Linked DNA regions of Drosophila melanogaster. The protein of the gene in region 4 interacts with the protein of the main gene of each other region in a pairwise test. Each region holds a gene or a part of one and is shown on either strand. Other genes may lie near its edges.

What was found.
Region 1: the proteins of CG14641 (region 4) and nuf interact in a two-hybrid assay, tested with the Drosophila melanogaster proteins (one large-scale study listed by BioGRID).
Region 2: the proteins of CG14641 (region 4) and GMF interact in a two-hybrid assay, tested with the Drosophila melanogaster proteins (one large-scale study listed by BioGRID).
Region 3: the proteins of CG14641 (region 4) and CG13159 interact in a two-hybrid assay, tested with the Drosophila melanogaster proteins (one large-scale study listed by BioGRID).

Annotation. Positions count from the first base shown.
Region 1 is NT_037436.4:14,217,322-14,223,932, reverse strand, and holds the start of nuf (nuclear fallout), read right to left. Parts: upstream 4,192-6,611; 5' UTR 3,997-4,191; intron 2,494-3,996; exon of another isoform or gene 2,433-2,493; intron 1-2,432. Other genes in the region: CG7768 (uncharacterized protein), read right to left, coding at 5,056-5,550.
Region 2 is NT_033779.5:16,300,112-16,305,354, forward strand, and holds GMF (glia maturation factor), read right to left. Parts: upstream 2,844-5,243; 5' UTR 2,663-2,843; coding exon 2,660-2,662; intron 2,501-2,659; coding exon 2,407-2,500; intron 2,341-2,406; coding exon 2,150-2,340; intron 2,095-2,149; coding exon 1,966-2,094; 3' UTR 1,545-1,965; downstream 1-1,544. Other genes in the region: CG17328 (uncharacterized protein), read left to right, coding at 200-325, 382-1,497; c(2)M (crossover suppressor on 2 of manheim), read left to right, coding at 3,241-3,371, 3,451-3,614, 3,671-3,951, 4,011-4,194, 4,249-4,633, 4,686-4,993, 5,052-5,186. UniProt on the Drosophila melanogaster protein: Inhibits Arp2/3-mediated actin nucleation. Together with flr, promotes Arp2/3-nucleated actin filament array disassembly. Promotes debranching. Regulates lamellipodial protrusion dynamics possibly by facilitating lamellipodial retraction.
Region 3 is NT_033778.4:12,372,402-12,376,690, forward strand, and holds CG13159 (uncharacterized protein), read left to right. Parts: upstream 1-2,884; 5' UTR 2,885-2,967; coding exon 2,968-3,198; 3' UTR 3,199-3,277; downstream 3,278-4,289. Other genes in the region: CG13160 (uncharacterized protein), read left to right, coding at 1-106, 163-247, 409-529, 595-749, 806-1,189, 1,247-1,427, 1,484-1,668, 1,722-1,865 and 2 more.
Region 4 is NT_033777.3:4,229,600-4,235,128, forward strand, and holds CG14641 (uncharacterized protein), read right to left. Parts: upstream 2,744-5,529; 5' UTR 2,644-2,743; coding exon 1,387-2,643; 3' UTR 1,180-1,386; downstream 1-1,179. Other genes in the region: abs (abstrakt), read left to right, coding at 3,530-5,389.

The DNA.
Region 1 (6,611 bases), on a different chromosome or scaffold from region 4:
ACAACAACAACTTTCACCAACAAAACTTGTCTAGTAAACAACTGAAAATAACAACAACAACAAGCCCTGTCGTAAATATCTTGTGCAACTTGTTTCGTTTCGTTGGAAAAATTATGATGAAAATTGAAAGTAAGTGAAATAGCCGCTTCAATAACAATTTCTATTTTCAACTGCAATATTTTCGGAATTTTATGCAGTAGCAGACACGTTTTATGATGCATCTTTCATCGCCTAACGCTCGAAATCCGAACTAAAGGAATGTTTGGAGTTCAGCTGAAATATCTGAGTTTAAATGGGGGATCCCATAATGAATGCACACGCGCTATCTCGGGAACTATTCGAGTTTATGCGTTCCCAGATAAAGCATTTATGTGGAGCCATAAAGATTGACTTGTTTAGCATAAATAGCTCACATTTGTGACTGAGGTATTAGCTGAGGTAGCAAGTCATGGTTAAGTTGGGATAGGGTGGATCGTAAATAGATTTCTGGGGTTGCTCGGAAAAATATTTGGGGAATTTAAAAATCAAGAAGATTAATGTGATCGAAGCATACCCATAAATGAATCACACCACTTCCGAAATTCGGATGCACTTACTCATTTATGTATTCTAATATACATTTAAGTGGGTAGTTACTTCCGGACCCTCATCATTTATGTATTCTAATCTATATATAAGTGGCTAGTTTCTTTCGAACTTTTGTATTCCTACGAACCCCTAGAAAACTTCCAATATTTCAACTTGGCAACAAATTCGTGCCAATTACCCCGTCTAACCTCGATTTCTTGGCCTGGTGTTGCAGTTTGCATTTGCAATTATTTCTTCTGTTGTTGCATTTTACATGGCAATAAACCTTTCGGACGACCGCCCACGCTAAGACAAAGAACTAAAAGGTGAAACTGAAACAACATGCTAACCCCATTTTACAGACTGGGGAAAACGACAAGGAGGGCTAGAGACGAAGGGAAAGAGACAAAAGTCGCGACATACAACAGCTGTTTCCTGCCACAAACTGATCTACCACAAATTGTTTTTACCTTCCATTATTATTGCATTGGTATAAGAAATATTAAAAAAAAAATAAGAAGATTACACAGATAAAAGCATTCTTTTTTCTGGCATTAAGTGTGCTAGTCACAGTATACATTATATAAGCCAACCCTCTCTTTACTTCTTCTTTTTTTTTTAGAACCAACAGACCGTAAAATTATTTTGTTCAGACTTTGAGCAGAATTCTAGACAATTTTACATATCCTCGTCGTACAGCTATTTTCCAACCTCTCCCTATTTTCATTGTTATTTTGTTCCTCAGGTTTTGAATTCCCGCCTAGTTTCTAATTACCAGAAAATGCAATGGCTGGCTAAGTTTGCTTTTCTTTTACTTGGAATTTGTGGCGTGCTGTTTACTTTTGTAGTCTAGTAAACTGAATCATTCTTAGTCTTATCAAATCGTTCGGCGACGTGTATAGTTAAGGTGCCCTTGTCAAAGCTTCATTTTCACGTTATCACATACAAATTTAAATAAAGGTCAATATGAGGGCCAATTAAAAGCAGGGCATGACTGATAAAGATTTTACTTTTTAAAGAACTTTATTTGCTTTGAATGATTCCAAGTTGATTTACGAAATAAGCATTCAAATAAATAAAATACAACTTTATTACAAATGATTTGGAAACCCTTATCAAAATACAATCCAATTCCTTCAATACAAGTACAGTAAGTAACCGAATAATCTGATTTCAATTCAACTAAAACTAATTTGCTAATGAAGTAAACTTTCCTTTCTTGTCAGCTGAATATTTTTGGATTATCATATCTCTTCAACCATTTTTTCCTCGCCCATGTCAGGCAATCAAAAACAGCATAATAGAAAATTATCATTAGCTACTCTTCAGCAAAATTGAATTCCACAAAGATTTGCATACAATGGTCGACGAAGGAAGGGGTGAAAATGGGGATGAGTCGAACGAGGGGAGCTCATTAAATGCAAATTTTACTTCGCTGCTGTGCACTTTTCATGCAACAAAGTGAAGTGAACAAGTTACAACAAAAAGGTTGTAAAATATACAATGATTAGCCGAAATTGGATCAGGAATGCTGAGTACCACATAAAATATTCATGATTTCAAACAAATGTATATTTAAAGACTTTGCATCAATTATATGGGAATCATATACATAAGAACTTGAAAAAAAATTGTCATTGATTATTTTTAATGTACTATTATGTATTCTATAACTTTCTTGAAAGCTTTTGCTTAAAAGAACCAAAAACTAATGATGCAATCCTTTAAAATATTTTTAATTTTCCTGCCGATTTTATGATCTTCAATAATCTGTGCCGCGATCTCACAAATATTTTTCAATTTTAAAAGTGAATAGCTAATTTTTTCGATTATTTAAAATGGTGTATTATGTATTTTATTACAACCACAATCGAGGGAGAAAAACAAATTTCGATTAAAGCACGCGAAACGCGAAAAGCAAACTGAATGAACCAGAAATTCAGGGGCAAAATAAACCGAGGCAGTCGCCAGCGATAGAGAGAAAAATGAGAGACTGGGAGAGCGAATTTGGGGAGGCGCAATCTTTATAAATAGGAAAAAATAATAATCAACAAACAAGAGCAATGACAAGGGACCGAAGAAAGAGAGCGATCCGATCCCCCAAAGGAAAAGTTTTTCGCCATATGTCCGAGGGTGATTCTCTCGCCGAATCCGCCCGCCTCCTTTATTTTGAACATATGGTTTTTGAGTCAGGGACAGCGCATAATTATGTGGAATTTATATACGGTCACCCCAAGCCAACCGCTCCCAAAATGCCTCCCATCATATGTTCATATATGCATACATACGTATGTATGTATATGTTTTACTCATTACTAAATAAAAGCGCAAGTGAATAAGCGTGGACACGAACCGAAAAGCAAGAGTAACGGGACGCATGCGGGATTGGATGGTAATCTCCATCCATTTCGTCCCATCTCTTTCGTACACCCCCTTTTTGTTGATGTCATCAGAGGGTCTTTTCCGTTCTTTTGTTATTGCGGCTACCTTAGGCCTTTTACTTATTGGTTTTTAGTGCTAGTTTTCAGTTCCGGTTAGTTGTCTTCTGTGCTGTTAGGGCACTGTGCCGTTAGATTTATATGCCTACTAATTGACGAACCATCGCTAATGAAAGAATATTTTCCTACCAAACTTAACGGTACGGAAAATGCCTAGTAAAAGAAATTAAGAAGTACGAGTTATGTATAATGAATGAACTTGGAACTGCTATGCGTTATTCTCGGTGGAAGCCCTTGATTTATTTAATTCCCTTTGAATGTAGAAACTGCCGAAAGCAATGAAAACAAGACTTGATTTTTAAAGAGGCAATATTATTTTTTTTTTTTCATCTTCCTAAGTTTACTAAACTTTTTAAGAAAATACTTAAACTTGTCTCCATTAATAATAAAAAAAATCAACACAAAAAGCACAATTAATTTACATTGTGCCGGTTTTGCAAATTTGATCACCTTATCTTTCTTCGTTTTACTTCATCAATTACCGTCAGTGTTTTTTCAACTTTTAACGCCCCATAACGAAGAATTGCTTTGAATTGTTTAAAGCTATTTTATTTTTTCTTTCATTTTGTCCCATTTATTGTATCATTTATCAATTTTATGCCACACTTGATTTCCATTTTTTATGTTTCGATAAAACACTTGGCAAACTGATTCAACCGCACTTTTCAATTTAAGATCAATCAACCAATATATTTGCCAGAGGGTATGAAAATTAGAAACATGAGCCGAACAAGGCTACTTTGATTACGGGTTTTCACAACAGACCCTGTCATTAACGAATTTGTTTTGATTTCACATTTTTCCTTAAATAAGCGGTTAATGAGCCAAAGGCACCTGACACAGCTGATAAGCGAATTCGATCGATAATAGGTAACACACAAAAAACACACGAATTGAGGTAACTTTGGGTTAATTTTCTCGAATTTCGAACCTTTTTTAATTTGGCTATTTTGCTTAGGAGAGCAGCAGCAGCAGCTGCATTTTCCTTTTCCTTGGCAATTGCATTGCCCAACAACAAAACACCCGCGCGAGAGAGCGCGAGAGAGTGAGAGACAGGGCGACCGTTCGATGCGCTGCTCCGCTTTTCTAGTGTTGTGAACGCGGCAAGCGTTAAATGCAATCTGAGAGAGGAAAGCGCTGAAAAGCCAGCGCCAAGTCGCGGCCCCTCCTCTGCCGCTGCCTCGGTCGACGTCGGCAGAAGCCGCGACTTGTTTTGGGTGCCCGAAAAAATAACGAAAAGAAATACAAAAAAACAGAGCCCCAAAGCAAAACGAACGCAATAGAAAAATTCCACTAATGTGACTTAGCAGTGTTGGAAATTCGTATTACATGCACTTGAGAAAAGAAAATTTTGTTTGCTGAGTGGCTTATATGCACATACACATATACACATTGTATAACATAGTTAGCCAGGTGTTTTTAGGTTTGAAAAGAAATACTAACTTCCAAATATAATATTTGTTTAAACAAAACTTATATTGCAGAATATATTTAAAAAATAATGGATTCAATTTGAGTTTTTGAATGTATTTAGTAAAGTGCACTTTACCAAACATATACATATGTATTACTGGTGGTTAATTCTTTTTTTTCATCAGTGTATGTGACTTAATAGACATTTGCAAAGTGCATTCGGGTAAAGTGGATAGAATGGCTTGAGGGAAAGGTGATGGGAGACAGAATGAGAATCGAGTGGAAAGAATCAAAAGCGACATATGTGAGCAACTCTTGAACTAAATTGAGTCAATTAAAAGTAATGGAAAGAAAAATCAAAGGAAAATGAGTCAGGGAACTGGGCTGTTCAGGGTGCACCGGATTATTCAACGAATTGGTCTGAAATGCGTAACATATGAGAGCGATGTAAATAGTTGAACCGACAAAATACATTTTTTTGCACCCCCTTTTATTTTGCAAAGTTTTCTTGAAAAGTATAATTTCAGTGTAATAGTGTAAATGTGTGATTGACAGCACTATTATGTATTGACACCCTTCAGAGGGCTCCGCAGTCTTCGATAATTACTTTCTTGCTGGTCTTCCCATCTTGTGAACCGTAAGATTCTACCTTCTGGACGATATCCATTCCCTCAACGACCTTGCCGAACACGACATGCTTATTATCCAGCCATGTGGTTTTCCCGGTGCAAATGAAAAACTGAGATCCATTGGTATTGGCCCCAGCATTGGCCATCGAAAGTACACCAGCTCCGGTATGCTTTAGCTCGAAATTCTCATCGGGAAACTTGTTTCCATAAATGGAGCGTCCTCCAGTTCCGTTTTGATTAGTGAAATCACCGCCCTGACACATGAAATTCGGGATGACGCGGTGGAATGGTGATCCCTTGTAGCCGTACCCCTTCTCTCCGGTGCAGAGGGCCCGGAAATTCTCCGCCGTCTTGGGCACCACATCCGAACGTAGTTCCATCACAATTCTACCTAACTTCTCACCTCCTGCGGCTATATCGAAGTAAACGCGTGGCAACGACATCTTCGCAGATGCCGAAAATTTTCGGAGAAAAGCCAGATCTATTAGGTTTAAAATCGAACGATGCCTTGTTCAAAAACAAGAAATATATTTACCGGATAACTTGGTGGTGTCAGCTTTATGATAAAAAAAAGTAACGACTTTCAAGAGAACCGTACAGTAGAACAGCTGGAACTGAACTGACGAATATTCTGGGCTAGTCAGGGATCTGAAGTAAGGGCTCGTTGAAATTCATTTCACAGCCTTCTTTATAAAATCCAGTAGCAAAAAAAAATGCCTGCTTTGGCTTCCACAATTTTTAATACATTGCAAATGATCGGTATATTTGGATATTTTAAGGTAATATTGTCCTTAAAATACCTTTATCCGTGTCTAATCTTACAGACCTTATTTACTCTTCTAATTTGTTTAACCGCCGCCTTAATCAACGCAAAACTCACAGATACTTTTAAAGCCGGCTATATTTACCTTTCATTTGCAGTTGTGTACAAACTTTATATATCCATCCACGCGATGAGTGTATGTTTGTATAATTAGGCAAAAAAAATAGTCAATATTTATTTGCCAAAGCAAATACAAACTGTGAGAATTATCCACGTTTTAAAGAAGCTGCTATTGCATTTATATTTATTCATTTGTTTGTTGTCTATATGAACGCATAGCACTCCTTTAAAACTCTTCTATCCCCGACTTCTTTGGGTTTAGCACATTTTGTGTATATATTAAAGTCCAGGGCCTAGTGAGTTTCCAAGACAACAATTGCTATTTGGGTATACATATACATAAGAATTGTTATAAGGGGAAAATAAAGGAAGGTTGAAGTACGATAAGATTGGCTAGTAACCGAGAACGTTGTAAACACAATGTTCGATAAAGTAGGTTTGGCATATTTAATAAGTTGCACGGACTTTCCCTTTATAAGCTTTATAATCATTTTTTATGTATTTTTCGCTCATAAATAAAAATAAAAATTAAAAACAAGCTACTTCAAGACCCTTAGATAATCTCCCCTCAAAATGCCAAAAGTTCAAGATGATTTAACGAAAGAAGGTTATTCGCACGTA
Region 2 (5,243 bases), on a different chromosome or scaffold from region 4:
TATTTGCGGAAATGAATCCACATTGAGTATGAAATTCATTTTAAACACGCGAAACAAATTTAATCATATATGATAGATTTGTTTCACAAGCTAGAGTTACGACTGTACCGTTGCAGCCCTGGTCCCAATCAGCTGATAGGAGTTTAGAGCAAAATTTTCAATAATTTTTTTGTTGATTTCTATAAAATTGAAATAAAACATGGACTATAATATCCACAAAATATGCAGAGTTTGCCTGGAGGAACTACATCCTGTAACTTCGATATATAGTACAGACTTTGCTATGATGCCCTCCGTAATGTTGATGCAATGCGCTAAAATAAGAGTGGGTTCTAAAAACAAAATATTTCAATGTTAATTGGCATATGGAAATTGTTTTAGGTTTTTAAAACCGATGGCCTACCTTCGGTGATCTGCAACAACTGTATTTACCGGCTGGGGGTGGCCTTCCACTTCAAGCAGGAATGCGAAAACAGTGATCTCCGACTGCGACAATATCTGGGCATTCTGGAATCCTGGCGCCAGGATGCGGCCACCAATACGGACTTTGTGGAGAAGCCGTTGCTTCCGCAGCGCGATAGCGATGAAGAGGAACCCGTGGATGCCAAAGTGAGCAAGAGGCGGTCGCGCTATCAAAGAAAGCCGCCAGAAGAGCACAAAAAACGGGGGCCCAAACCTGTGCCAAAGATGCCCCACACCTGCTACGAGTGCCACAAAAGCTTCAAATGCATTGCCCAATTAACACAGCATATAAGAACACATACTGGCGAGAAACCCTACCAATGCAGCTTTTGTATCCAGAGATTCGCCCAAAAGTACAATCTTAAAGTCCACGAAAGAACGCACACGGGCGACAAGCCTTTTCAGTGTGAGATCTGCTCAAAGCAGTTTTCCGCGTTAGGCAATTTCCAGGCGCACCAGAAGATTCATTTAGGAGTGCGGGATCAGGTATGCTCGCTATGTCAGAAAGGTTTCTACACCGCCGGTGATCTCTCCAAGCACATGATAACCCATACGGGCATCAAAAACCATCACTGCGATGTCTGCGGCAAGGCTTTCAGCAGGCGAAGAGATATGCGGACTCATAAATTGAAGCTTCATCCTCTGGAGTCCAGTACAAACCATGATATAGTGGATGATGATGATGATGAGGCTATAGACACGGATCCCGTGGGTCTGGACACCCTCGATCACGCCCACTTCAAGTGTCCGGATTGCGACAAGGCATTTGATACGGCGGACAGCCTAAGTCTACATTTTCGCACGCATGCGGCGAATAATAATCTACTGAATTTGCCGTTGCCTCCTGCACCACCTATGTCGCATCACTACCATCACGATGCACTGCATCATCTCGGCCCACCGAATCCCGCCACACAAATGGGAATGGCTGCAATGGCTCACATGTTGGCACCGCCGCCGCCTCCACCGCCAACGCCAAGTGAAGGACGTTACACTATGCTGCACCACACGGCGGCACAAAGACTACATTATTAGAGTATAGCTACGAAGATTTATCTTAATCATAATTATTGTTTTAGATTATGTTTTGATATTGAACACTTTTATTTAGTTTGTCTATATAAAATGGAATATTTTGTCATGTTTGCTTTTATATCTTTACAATAAATACATGTAGAAATTTGGCAAGCACAGCTTCTATTAAGATTATTACTTAAATGCAAGAACTAAAATCACTAAAAACTCCCCGCGCGTACTTGTCGCATACTTGTCGTCGATATAAAAATGTCATTGTTGTATAAACTAAGCTTGATTTGTGTTTTCTGTAGGTAAAAATTGTAGTATCTCAATATTGGTTTGTTTGGTATTGGTATGCATCGTTGGTATCGGCTTAATCCAGTTTGAATATGTATATAAAAAGCTCAAAAATCAATCAGAGAACTATCATAAAATATTGCTTTTGACAACGGCCCGGATTGATTGATCCCAGAGATCGAAACCTCTCTACTTGAGCTTGGCTTTCAGCCACTCCTCGGTGAGTTCGTCTAGTTCGCGTATCTCGTAGACGCGTGTGAGATCTACTTCGCGCTGAAGAGCGCTCTTCGTGCAGGCGTACATCATCTGCAATTCGATCTGAAACAGAGAGTTATGAATTATAGAATATATTTGAGCATTGCTAAACTCCCACCTGGCTATCCCTGGGTGTGTAGAATATGAAGCACATTGGGTACGAAATGCGCTGATCGTCATGGACCATTTTATACGTATAGATGACATATCGGGGCTGGTGTCCTGGCAATGTATCCTGCAGCTCGTCCACCGAAATATCGTCGATGAACTCGTCCAGCACCACCGTTTGCTTCTCCCGGTCGACTTTCACTGCAAGGGACAATGGAGTGGTCATAAAAACTACACACATCTGTTACCATGACAATCAAGGCTTACATATCAAAGCCGCATTATTTTTGCTCTTGCTGAATCGAAACTTCTTCAATTCCTCCAGAACTTCGTTGCTTATGTCGCATATCTGGTTATCACTCTGTATGAAATCGATATAATTGATTAATGAATTGGAATCACCAAAGTTATCTGCTAACAACAATCGTCGATTGAAAAACAAAAACAAAAACACGCCCACACTCTATTAGTCATGTTTTCATTTTGGTAATTGATTTCCGACCCTATATACACTTCCTACCATAACTTTAGCTATGAAGTTAGGGATGCGATCTGTAAAGTGTGCTGCACTACCGAATTTTTGGCAGTTAATTGTAGGAATGCAATATCACTTGTCCTTAAGGAATCGTTTAAATACTGTCGTTTATTCTGAGTTTTGTTTTGTTGTTCCTGCAGTGAGACCGTTCACTGAACGCCAAATAATATTCTGTGCTGCATCAAAAATATGTGAAGTGTTGTTAAACGACGTTTCTGATAAATTAAAAAATAATAACAATATTTGCTAAAGGTTTTTTTTTCATTAAGCTTTTTTCTTTACGGCAACATTGGTATTATTTATGGAATTTATTAAAAATAATTGAAATGTATTTTTTAGATTGAAATAGGAACGCTCTTTTTTAAAAATGTTTTGTAGATATACTTAAAACTTATCATTATTTTATAGTAGGTAAAAATCGTTCGTATACGATATTTGGATCATGTTTGTCCTCTCTAGTGGCTGATGGACTGTCAAAAAAGTACCGTTACTTTAGGGTTGTTACAGAGAGCACTAACTTATAAATAGTTAATACTATAATCTATGTGCTTAATGTCGTAGTTACAATGAGCTTGAATTTATATGAGAGCAACATCCTTAATTCCTGCTGGAAAGCGGGAGGGCGCAAACCGAGGAAATCGGCATTTGGCCAACTTAATCGAAATGAGATCGCTGATGTGGATGTAGTCGCCTGCTGGTAATTAAATATTAAATATAATGAATTTTTTTAACATTTCATTATATTCAATTGTTTTCAACATTTATCTACATTTCAGCAAGCAAATCACCGAATTAATTGAGGAAAATGCATTAAGAAAACGCCAGAAACGATCCAATGTTTTGGCCGCAAGAAACCGGCAAAATGTTATTTTCAAGGACATTTCCCGCTTGGTTTTTGGAGTTGCGGATATTTTTAGATGCCAAGTGGATCTACTTTTGGGTAAGTATTAGTCCGAATATTACGTAACATTGATATATAATCACGAATTCTTACAGGGGACACGAAGGTATTACTTGACCAATGTACACGTACCAACTTGGATTACGTTCTCACCACAACAAAATCCGTAGTGGTCAACAAATCAGAGATTCGAATCCAACGCAAAGGAAAGCGGGTGATCACCAAGAAATCTAAAGTAACAGTATCAAAACGTCCCAGACTGCAGGAATCGGATCTATTGGATGAATTCTCACATGAATACTACGAGAAGATGCTATCCGAATGCCAGATGTGGCAAACGGAGTGCACACAACAGGTGGTGGAGGACCTGAACGAGGTTAGTCGTCAATATACTGTTGGACTGCTTCCTTATATGATTTCATTTTTCGCAAAAAGTCTATTGAACAACCCCGGAGTTGCACTCAGTCAAAGTCGTATCATTCCATTACAATCACCGAAGAGATTGAACTTCCCGAAGATCATAGCTTAATTATGCCATCAAATGGTTTTGGCGAAGCCGAGGGCGCGGACTTAACCATTTTTCAAGAGCTTTACCCCAAAGATGGCACACGGAACTCACGTAAGAATTCTCAATTCAATTGAAAATGTAATAAACTATTTTTTTGTATTATAGTAAAGCGACACTCAATAGCTCAGGATCCAACTGACATCTTACCGGATAAAATGCCCAGATTGGATGATTGCGATGTTTTCCAAGCTGACAATGCTATCATGACCCAAATCTTTCCGCATAACATTGAACCAGCTGAAGTAACTCAGATAGTTTGTGAACCGTCGTTGCCATCCGTTTTAAATTCTTTTGGAGAAATAACATTTAGCCACCCGAAAAATCGGAAAAGAAAGCTAATAGTAGACAAACGAATTGAATACACCCGGGAGCAGCTGGTGAAGCATAGACAGAAATATATGGAAGAATACCTTTCAAGGAATGTGATAGTGCCAAAATCCTCGGATTTACGGAAACCCCCTAAGGAACTTCTCTGTAAACTGTATAATAAGTAGGAGCCTTATACATTTTGCTATTTAAAACTTTTTAATTTTTTGATGTAGTGTAAGTTTTTTAGCTCTTCATAACCACTCCGGACCTAAGCTCAGTAATGAAGAAAAGGAATTCGAGGCAGAAAACACATTGAGAACCATATTTGGCTGCGAGTTTACCGAGAATCTTTCTAAAGAGATATTTGTGCGACCATCGCAGGCTACAAAATGTAGGGATAAAGCGGCACATATCTATCAGCCCGAACCGCTTGAAGTGGAAGACTGTGTGCAACCTCAACTTCAGCCACGTGATGATGTAAATCAGAATTATCATAATGAAATGAATGAGCACGGCATATACCGTGAGGATAATCATGATGGTGAGTTCAGCCAATGTTTACAACATGCTATCGTAAATAAAATATAATCTCATTGCAGATACCTACAGCGTAATGATGAGTCTCTTAAGCATTTGGCGTAATAATCCGAAAATCACGGGAATCGATGCCATTGATTTTATAAAAACGTTTGATAGTCGCATCAAGGCTTCGTTAGCCTTTCTCCATTTGTTGTGTGAGTTCGAAAAAGAACAAAATGTGTGTTGGAAATAACGTATAGCTTAAATTTCAG
Region 3 (4,289 bases), on a different chromosome or scaffold from region 4:
ATCCCTTCCTGCATCCGATTATATTCCTTTTCAATGGTGCCGAAGAGCAGCCAATGCAGGGATCACATGGTTTCATCACGCAGCACAGATGGGCTGCCAACTGCAAGTGAGTTTGAGTCTCAGGCGGAGATCACCGGAATCTCTAATCCGCTATCCAAACAGGGCTCTACTGAACTTGGATTCCGCTGGCGCTGGTGGACGTGATTTGCTCTTCCAGGGCGGTCCCAATCATCCCTGGCTGATGGAGGTAAGTTCCCCTGTTTGTGGAGCTAAAAACCCCCCGAAAGTCGGCAACGCCATTGGTGATTCATATATTTGGGAATGCTCTGATCGCATTTCCGATATGGGGGCTGCTATATCACCCGTCTGGCTGCTGATCAATTAATCTAATCTTCCGCCTTATCTTAGCATTACAGAAACAGTGCCCCGCACCCGTTCGCCACCACAACGGCCGAGGAGATGTTCGAGGCTGGTATCATACCATCGGATACTGATTTCCGGATCTTTCGGGACTTTGGAGTTGTGCCAGGTGGGAATCTCGGCGCAAGAAAATATCCTTTTCAACCACACTACTCAGGAGCTCTTCTCTTTCAGGCTTGGACATGGCCGGCGTGTACAATGGATTCGTTTATCACACGAAATTCGATCGCTACGCGGTGATAAGTCTCGATTCCCTGCAGAATTCCGGCGACAATTTACTGGCCTTGGTATGGAGTATTTCGAATGCCGAAGAAATGTACGACACAGAGGTGGGTTTCCTCTTTCGAGTGGCTTTTGTCCATTTTTCATGGTAATCTTTCAACAGGCACACGCGGCGGGACATGCAGTATTCTTCGACTTTATTGGACTGTTCTTTGTCCATTACCAGGAGTCGACTAGCTTGGCCCTGAATCTCTTCTTCTCGTTCGGTGCCATTTTGCTGGTCTGCATCTCGTTGTGGCGAATGTCCCGGGTTACTGGACAGACTATGGGCACCTATGCCGGCGTCTTTGGACTCCTATTCCTGCTAGCCCTAGCTGGTGCTCTCCTCGCCGTGGCCTTTCCTCTGCTGATGGCCACCTTTTATGATTGGGGAAATAGAACGTTGACCTATTTTAGCAACAGTTGGCTGGTCATTGGGTTGTACATTTGTCCATCGGTTATTGGCCTTGTACTGCCCATGACCCTCTACTTGACGCATACGAAGTGTGTAAGTAGTATCACTTGTTAACGAAGTTATTTTGTTATACTAAGCTATCCTCTGCAGAACAAGATCCCCCATACTTATTACTTGCATATTGTGGGTCACGCGAACTGTGTCCTTTTGGCCATCTTGTGTTTGGGTGCAACGGCTCTTAAATACCGTAGTGCCTATCTATTTCTGATCTCTCTCATTTTCTACGTTGCTGCTCTGATCATTAACCTACTGACCCGTCTCCATTGTCGCGGTAAGTTAGCTTATATATTCGTGGAGAACTTTTAATGATTCATGCCAACACTTTAGGTTATCTGTGGTCACTGGTGCTGATTGTTTTCCAGATTATACCCTTCATTTACCACGCCTACTTGTTCCACATGTTCATACTTATTCTCATTCCGATGACTGGTCGCTTTGGCGTCTCCACCAATCCGGATATACTAATCGGCGCTCTATGTGGTTTTGGCACAATTTTGGCGTTATCTTTTGCTGTAAGAAAGTTATTCACATTTATTGACTACTTTACTTAATCAGTTTCACTTAGGCTCCTTTAATCAATGTCTTTCGGCGACCGAACTGCATGCTGGGTGGTCTGGCACTGGTTATGTTTATTTTCTGCATGATTGCCGTCTCGGATGTCGGATTCCCGTATCGGCCCAAAACAAATGTCATGCGTGCCGACTTCATGGTAAGGGAAACACTAATAAGCATCCTTTGAAAGACGACTAAGTTCTATTCTTTGTCGGAGCAGCAAGTGCATCGCAAATTTTTCGAGTACAATGGTTCCATCAGCCACGAGGATTCTGGCTACTACTTCCATCTGGGGGATCGAAACAAAGAGGCACCTCTGCGCGATCACATGAACCTGACCAACCTGGTACGCCTGGGCGAGGATTGCGACTCCGAGCTGATGTGCGGTATTCCCTGCTACCGATATTGTAGTGCCCGGGAGCATGCACTTTGGCTTGCTCGAGAGGAGCCCGTGGAACTGCCTTATCCAACGGTCTTGGAGTTCCTTAGCAAGACAGTTCTGTCCGGTGGCTATCAGGTGCGCTATGAGTTCCGGCTAACTGGTCCGCCAAATATGGGTCTGTTCTTCAAGCCACTGGATGGTGTAAAACTACTCCGATGGACGTTTGCTCCCGCAATGCTGGATAATCCGGCCACTTACAGGCCTCCTCTGGAGGTCATGTTAACCTACGGTATTGATAACACTCCCATCGAATTCTTCGTGGAACTTTCTGTGCGTATTTAATGGGTCGTTCTGATAACTATACTAACTAACTGATTCTTAGAAGGACGATGGCAACTTCAATGAACCCGTCTTTGAGATGGGCGTCTCTGGACACTATGTCAGTCCACATGATAAGCGGGATGCGTTGAGCCTGGAGTTCCTTGCCACACTTCCGGACTTTGCCTTCTCGATGGAGTGGCCCAGTAGCTACGAACGGCATATATTCTAGGATAGTTAGCTAATAAGAATACCAAGTCATTGACACTCCCAACCCGAAAAACTTTTATTTTTCGGAAAATGGAAGGGGATCAAACATTGGATGCATTTCACAATGAGTTGGTCGGTAAACATTGGTGGGGGAAAGCTAGCAATGTAGCAAACGGTAAAGGAACCATTTGTGCAAACATTACAGGGAATACTACGACTGCCGCAGTCAAAATATGGGTATAAATAGTGAGGCCTGGACCAGCGAAAGACACACTCAGAGTTCAGCAGCTCGTCCGTCGATAAGCAACAGCCAGCCAGCAATCCTAAAAGCCCAAAAAATCCAATCAACATGAAGTTCTTCGCTGTCCTCGTCTGTTTCTCCGCTGTCCTGGCCATCGCAATGGCATCTACCGCAACTACAACCAGCACTCCCACAACGCCCTCTTCGCCCACGACGACGACGTACACCTATACTACCACCCCGACCTACCCCACCTACACCTACACCACGGACACCACCACCACTAAGCCAATCAAGCAACAGCTCCTGTCCCTGCTGTTCAACAAGAAGTCCGGATAGAGCCGCCCATCCGATCCACGATGCTGCCACTTGATACGATCCTCATCACCTGAATAGCCAAATAAAAACACCAAATACCAAAAAACAAACAAGCGCCGTCTCTTGCTCTCACACAATACCGCAATCGAAGTTAACCATCTCACGTAGCATTGGGCGGTGGGACATTTGGGGCTTTACTTCCACCTCCACCTCCATTTCTACTTCGGCGGTAACTGACATTTGCTCAACTGGCAACGGAACGCCCCGGCTCAGGCATTACCGCCTTTTGGCCGGACCTGTTCAAGAAACATCTGTTCGGCTGCCGCAAAGGTCAAGCGGCACTTGCCACATTCAGTTAGCTGGTGAGTAAGTCAGTTGGCCAGCCAGACATGATCATGGTCAGGTGGCAGTCATAATCCCGCCAATGATGATCATCAAGCCGTTGAGTCAAATGTCTAATGACTGCACTGACAAATTGATGTAGGAATGCAGCAGTCTGTCCCTATTCCTCTCACGCTGCCGAGGATGAGTTATGAATGTCAAGCTGGTCATGTTCAACACGATCCGAGATGATCATAGTGCCTCCAACGCCCCTCGCAATACAGGTGCACAGTGGGCGATGGCTAGCTAGGATAGTTTCTATTGCAGCAAGCAATTGAAGATGCAACTGTGCTGATGATAACTTCCAGCATAACAACTTAATGTTGTGAGATATTATACTAAACTATATTTTTCTTTGCTCTAATGATAAAGTAGAGTCCCCACTGTGGCTGTCATGTAGACAACTCATTCGACAAATTGCAGCATATCGGATGGGTCGTGCACTTGTAGGTGGATTCGATTCGATTCGGTCCGGTCCGGTTCGGTTCATTTGCGCTCCATGGGAGATGGTATTGGCCTCCGACAAGAGCCACCTAAAAGAGGCTTCCGATCGGCGGGTCTTCAAAATGCTAGGCGTTCACTCTTTAATCTCCAACTGCAATAGTGTCTGTGTGCAAAAGTTCAAGCGATTTGGTATAAATATGCAAAGAGTCGCCTCTGTTGACCACAGTAACGGATCGAGACGAACTCGGAGCAGACGACCAGGACCCAGGATCACAGGATACAGCTCG
Region 4 (5,529 bases):
CATTATATAATTTACAGTTAGTCTAAGATTTCATTAGAATAAACATATTTGCACTGCTCGCACCTGTACATATGTAACCTTTACCTACCCTGTAGTCCCACAATTCATCGCTATTAAAAAATATTACATCATCTCTCTCTTAAAATTTTAAAGCGATGCTAATGTTCTTAATCATAACGAGGAATAAGCGATGATTTTGAAAACAAATTCATCGCTTTTTAATTTCTAACCGAAGGTCTCAGTATGCGATTTTTTATTTAATTGCAAATTTAAATTTAAATTTTAAATTTGTAATGTACATAGAACATGTTTGCAGATCACTTGCCTATAGACTTTTGTGAGAAGTAGACGCGATTTTGAGTGCTTGTTTTAAAAAAAAATTGTAAATATTTTGGAATTTAATTCAATAATAATTACAGGTAATGGATTTATTTTACAATAAGCAACAAACACTACTCACAGAAACGATAATTTAAGGTAAATTGGTTTAACTCGTTTTTGTATACATAATTATACATTATTTTACCTTAAGGTAAATCGGACATGTGAACTGAAAAGAAGCTGGTCCTAACTCCGTAGGACAGGACGCCAAAGACTCTGGAATTTCACATACATATATATGTATTTGTATTCTTAAATTTAAATCCTATGCATAATTTAAATAAGTCTAATTAAGAAAATACATTTTTATTAATAAATGACTGAAATTTCACTTTTTCATTAAAATTGATAGAGGATTAAGTGAATAAAAAGAGGTGTAGAGAGATGAATTGAGCTATCATTTATAGCGCTTATGCGTGATTTTGATTTTGCGCTATGCGATGATTTCCTAGAACATAGGTTCAGGTCATGGTTTTTTTTTTTAATACAAATTAACCTGTGATTAATTTGATCGAGATTTTTAATGATCAGTAATGAGCTGATGAAATCTGAATGAATGGAATGCAGGGAGGTAGTCATAATCCCAATGTTAAGTTCCCCTATAAATACTGAAGAATGAACTTACATATGTACATGTGCATTGGTGTACTTTTTTTAATCCCAAATATCGTCCAAATCAAAGAAAAGCATTTATTAAAGGTAAAAACGAGTGACGAACGCACATCAACATACATATGTACAAAAGTTTTGATATAAGCTTTTGTGACGAAAATTTGTTCTTTTTTTCTTTTTTTTTTTAGAGTTTAAATCATTTATTATTATCTTCTCCTCTCTAATTGTTTGGTGTTTTTTCTTAACAATTCGAATCGAAAACAATTTCGTCCATACGGATAAATTCTATTAATATTAAGTCATTTTTATGGAACTGACCACTTTAAAAAGTTTGTATTTAATTTTATAAAAATGATTTATTGAATTGGAACCATTGTAGACCACAGGGTTTTCCTACTTTTTAACAGCTCCCATCCGACTGGCGTCCTGACTTGGATACGGTACTTGACCCGGTGGCGGAGGAATCGATATGGAATCCAAATTGACACCCGAGGAAGAAAGGGCTGTGGAAGTGGCGTTTCCGTAGGGAGCTGCATAAGTAGGCTGACCATACATTTGGTAAGCCGACGCCGGAACTAGATTTGATGGCAACTGATGCAGCTTCATGCCGGCGGGCATGACATTGATTTGCTCTTGGCGAAGATTGAAGTAGTCGTTGGGCTTCGCGCTAGGCGGTGGAATGCCGGCCAAGTCGAAGCGTCTGTCTGTCTTTGCAGCGGTGCCCTGCTTTGCCTGAGAGTGAGCCCACTTAATGCTCACCTTCCGGCCCTGGATCACCAGTTTATTAAAGGTCCGCTCAGCAGCCAGCTCGGCAGCGTTTCTTTTGGTGTATTGCACAAAAGCGCACTGCTGGCGTGGCACCAGCGCAATTGATCGAATTTCGCCGAACTGGTAGAACTGATCTCGCAGCTCGGGTTCCGTGATTTCTTCAGGAAGGTTCCCCACATAGAGAGTTGTGATGTTGCGGTCCTCCGGCGGCTCGAGTGTGGGAAGCGAGGCTGCACGCTTCATGATCTTCTCGGCCACAGGATCGTTGCGTCCGTAGTACCTGTCCTTGATGTTTTGCTCACATAGCGGATCGTCCGGCTCGTTGGGCTTGTCGTGGCGGTATGGGCACTCCTCTCCACGCTTGCACTCGCCCTTAACCCAAAAGGAGCAGATGTGCGGCCGATTTCTTTTGTAATAGGGTGCTGTGCGCGCAAGCTTGGACAACATCTCGTTGGCGGCGAGGGATCGACCGACAGCTCCTGCCGCCTCCGTGCCATCTCCGTCCTGCAGCTGGGCGTCTATGTTTTGGATGTAGTATTCCTTGTTAACGTCGCTTTGTGGCATATTGTCAGCCACTTTGAGCGCCGCATCTCGTACTTGAATCGGCAGTCCGTACTCCAGGTCCAAGAGGCAGGTCTGACACACGTTCTTCAGGCGCGCACACGTTTGACATATCTCCGTCTTTTTGAAGCGCATACGAGCACCAGGACACCATCGAAATATTGTGAATGGACGCGTGCATATCTTGCATTCCTTGCCGAACCGCTCTTTAATCATCCGCACGTACGGATTGTCGCCAAGGCAAGTTTGGCACAGAATTGGGAATTCAGCATCTTCCCAGTTCTGCCGGTTATAGGTGTTAGTCGTTTTTGACATAGACATAGCAGCGGCACTTATGTACCTTGCACTTAAAATCCGAGCTAAATTTAGACAATGCTCATTCGCTTTCTACTTGTCGAAAATGGTGGTGTGTCGCGAGTGATATACCAATATCGATAAGTTGAGCCAGAAGCAGACAGTTAGTTCAAAGTCAGCAATCGATATAATTTATTGAATTTAATAGCATATTCACACTGCTTAGAATATATATCTATACCCAAATGCACACAAAAATATATTGCATTCGACTGATCCGAAACCGATCAATACGATATTCTACTATTCTGTACTATTCATGTTCGCTAACCGTTTAACAGAAATGTTCCTGAAACACTTTTGATAGCACGCATAAGTTCATATAAAATGTTTCTGGGCGATTTACACAGAGTTTTTGGCACTTTTAATTCCGATGTTCGCAGTTACGTATTCACTGCGCTCTGACCACTTATGTTATTCAATTAATTATCATTATTTACGAACAGCACTTTTGGCCCTGCTTTAAATATATTTACTAAGTATTTTTACCTGCCTGTTATATTTCACCAACAGTATGGCAACCTTCGCGCTAAAAGTTGCATTTTTCACGTTGCTTGGTTTTCACAAAAAAAGAAAGACTCAATCTCAAACTCAGAAAACCAGAGCACCTAAAAACGAAATCGAAAGATTTTGCCCAAATTGAAAAAAAAACTATTATCCGGTCTGCATGCCATGAATATATCATAAGCAAGAAGCTGTCAGTGGAATCACTGTTTAATAACTGTAATCGATACCCATTAGAATATAGTATTTTTCGGGCTCGCCTAATTTAAAACGTCGTACGGTGGCCTTTGTTGTAGTCAAATTAGGCGAAAACGAAACAAACAAAAATCAGAAATATAGATCGAATGCTATGGCGCACGTAAAGCGGTATCGGAGGTCGTCTAAGTCCTCGGAGGAAGGCGACCTGGACAACGAGGACTACGTGCCATACGTACCGGTGAAGGAGCGGAAGAAGCAGCACATGATAAAGCTGGGCAGGATCGTGCAACTGGTTTCGGAAACGGCCCAGCCCAAGTCGTCAAGCGAGAATGAGAATGAAGACGACTCGCAGGGTGCGCACGATGTCGAGACCTGGGGACGCAAGTACAACATTAGTCTGCTGGACCAGCACACAGAACTGAAGAAAATTGCCGAGGCCAAAAAGTTGAGTGCCGTCGAAAAGCAGCTGCGAGAGGAGGAAAAGATTATGGAGAGCATTGCTCAGCAGAAGGCCCTTATGGGTGTGGCAGAGTTGGCGAAGGGGATTCAGTACGAGCAGCCTATTAAAACAGCTTGGAAACCGCCGCGTTACATTCGGGAAATGTCGGAGGAAGAGCGCGAGGCCGTTCGCCACGAGTTGAGGATCCTAGTGGAGGGAGAAACCCCCAGCCCGCCAATTCGCAGCTTCCGGGAAATGAAGTTCCCTAAAGGTATACTTAACGGCTTAGCGGCCAAAGGCATTAAGAACCCGACCCCAATCCAAGTGCAAGGCCTGCCCACTGTACTAGCCGGCCGCGACCTAATTGGAATAGCCTTCACTGGGTCTGGAAAAACGCTTGTCTTCGTGCTGCCAGTCATCATGTTTGCCCTGGAACAGGAGTATAGTCTGCCTTTTGAGCGTAACGAGGGCCCCTACGGCCTGATCATTTGCCCGTCCCGCGAACTGGCCAAGCAAACACACGAGATAATTCAACACTACAGCAAGCACCTCCAGGCATGCGGAATGCCTGAGATTCGTTCCTGCCTGGCCATGGGTGGTTTGCCGGTCAGCGAGGCCCTTGACGTCATCTCACGCGGCGTACATATTGTGGTGGCGACCCCTGGTCGTCTAATGGATATGCTGGACAAGAAGATCCTTACGCTGGACATGTGCCGGTACTTGTGCATGGACGAGGCTGACCGCATGATTGACATGGGATTTGAAGAGGACGTTCGTACGATATTCTCTTTCTTCAAAGGCCAGCGACAGACACTTTTATTCTCTGCCACCATGCCAAAAAAGATCCAGAACTTTGCTCGATCAGCTCTCGTGAAGCCTGTCACAATAAATGTGGGTCGCGCAGGTGCTGCGTCAATGAACGTCACCCAACAGGTTGAGTACGTTAAGCAAGAGGCAAAGGTGGTATATTTGCTGGACTGCCTACAGAAGACCGCGCCGCCCGTGCTCATTTTTGCTGAGAAGAAGCAGGATGTAGACTGCATACATGAGTATCTGCTGTTGAAAGGCGTGGAGGCGGTGGCTATTCACGGCGGAAAGGATCAGGAAGAACGATCGCGGGCAGTCGATGCTTACCGCGTGGGCAAAAAAGATGTGCTGGTGGCCACCGACGTGGCATCGAAGGGCCTGGACTTCCCTAACGTGCAACACGTTATTAACTACGACATGCCGGACGATATTGAAAACTATGTGCATCGTATTGGCCGCACAGGTCGTTCCAACACTAAGGGATTGGCTACGACGCTGATAAACAAGACTACCGAGCAGTCGGTTCTGCTCGACCTGAAGCACCTGCTAATCGAGGGCAAGCAAGAGGTCCCGGACTTCTTGGACGAACTGGCACCTGAGACCGAACACCAGCACCTGGACCTGGGTGACTCGCATGGCTGCACCTACTGTGGTGGTCTGGGCCATCGCATCACGGAGTGCCCAAAACTTGAGGCTGTTCAGAACAAGCAAGCTTCAAACATAGGACGTCGCGACTACCTATCTAACACCGCTGCGGATTACTAAACCACTACCACCACCAAATTAAAATAGTAATAAATAGATTAGTATACATACATACTTTTCTGGGAACTTTTAAATTTATTTTCACTCTGTTTTAAGTTCAGTTTGCTGCTTATCGCACGAAGCTTTGCTTATCAATCGTC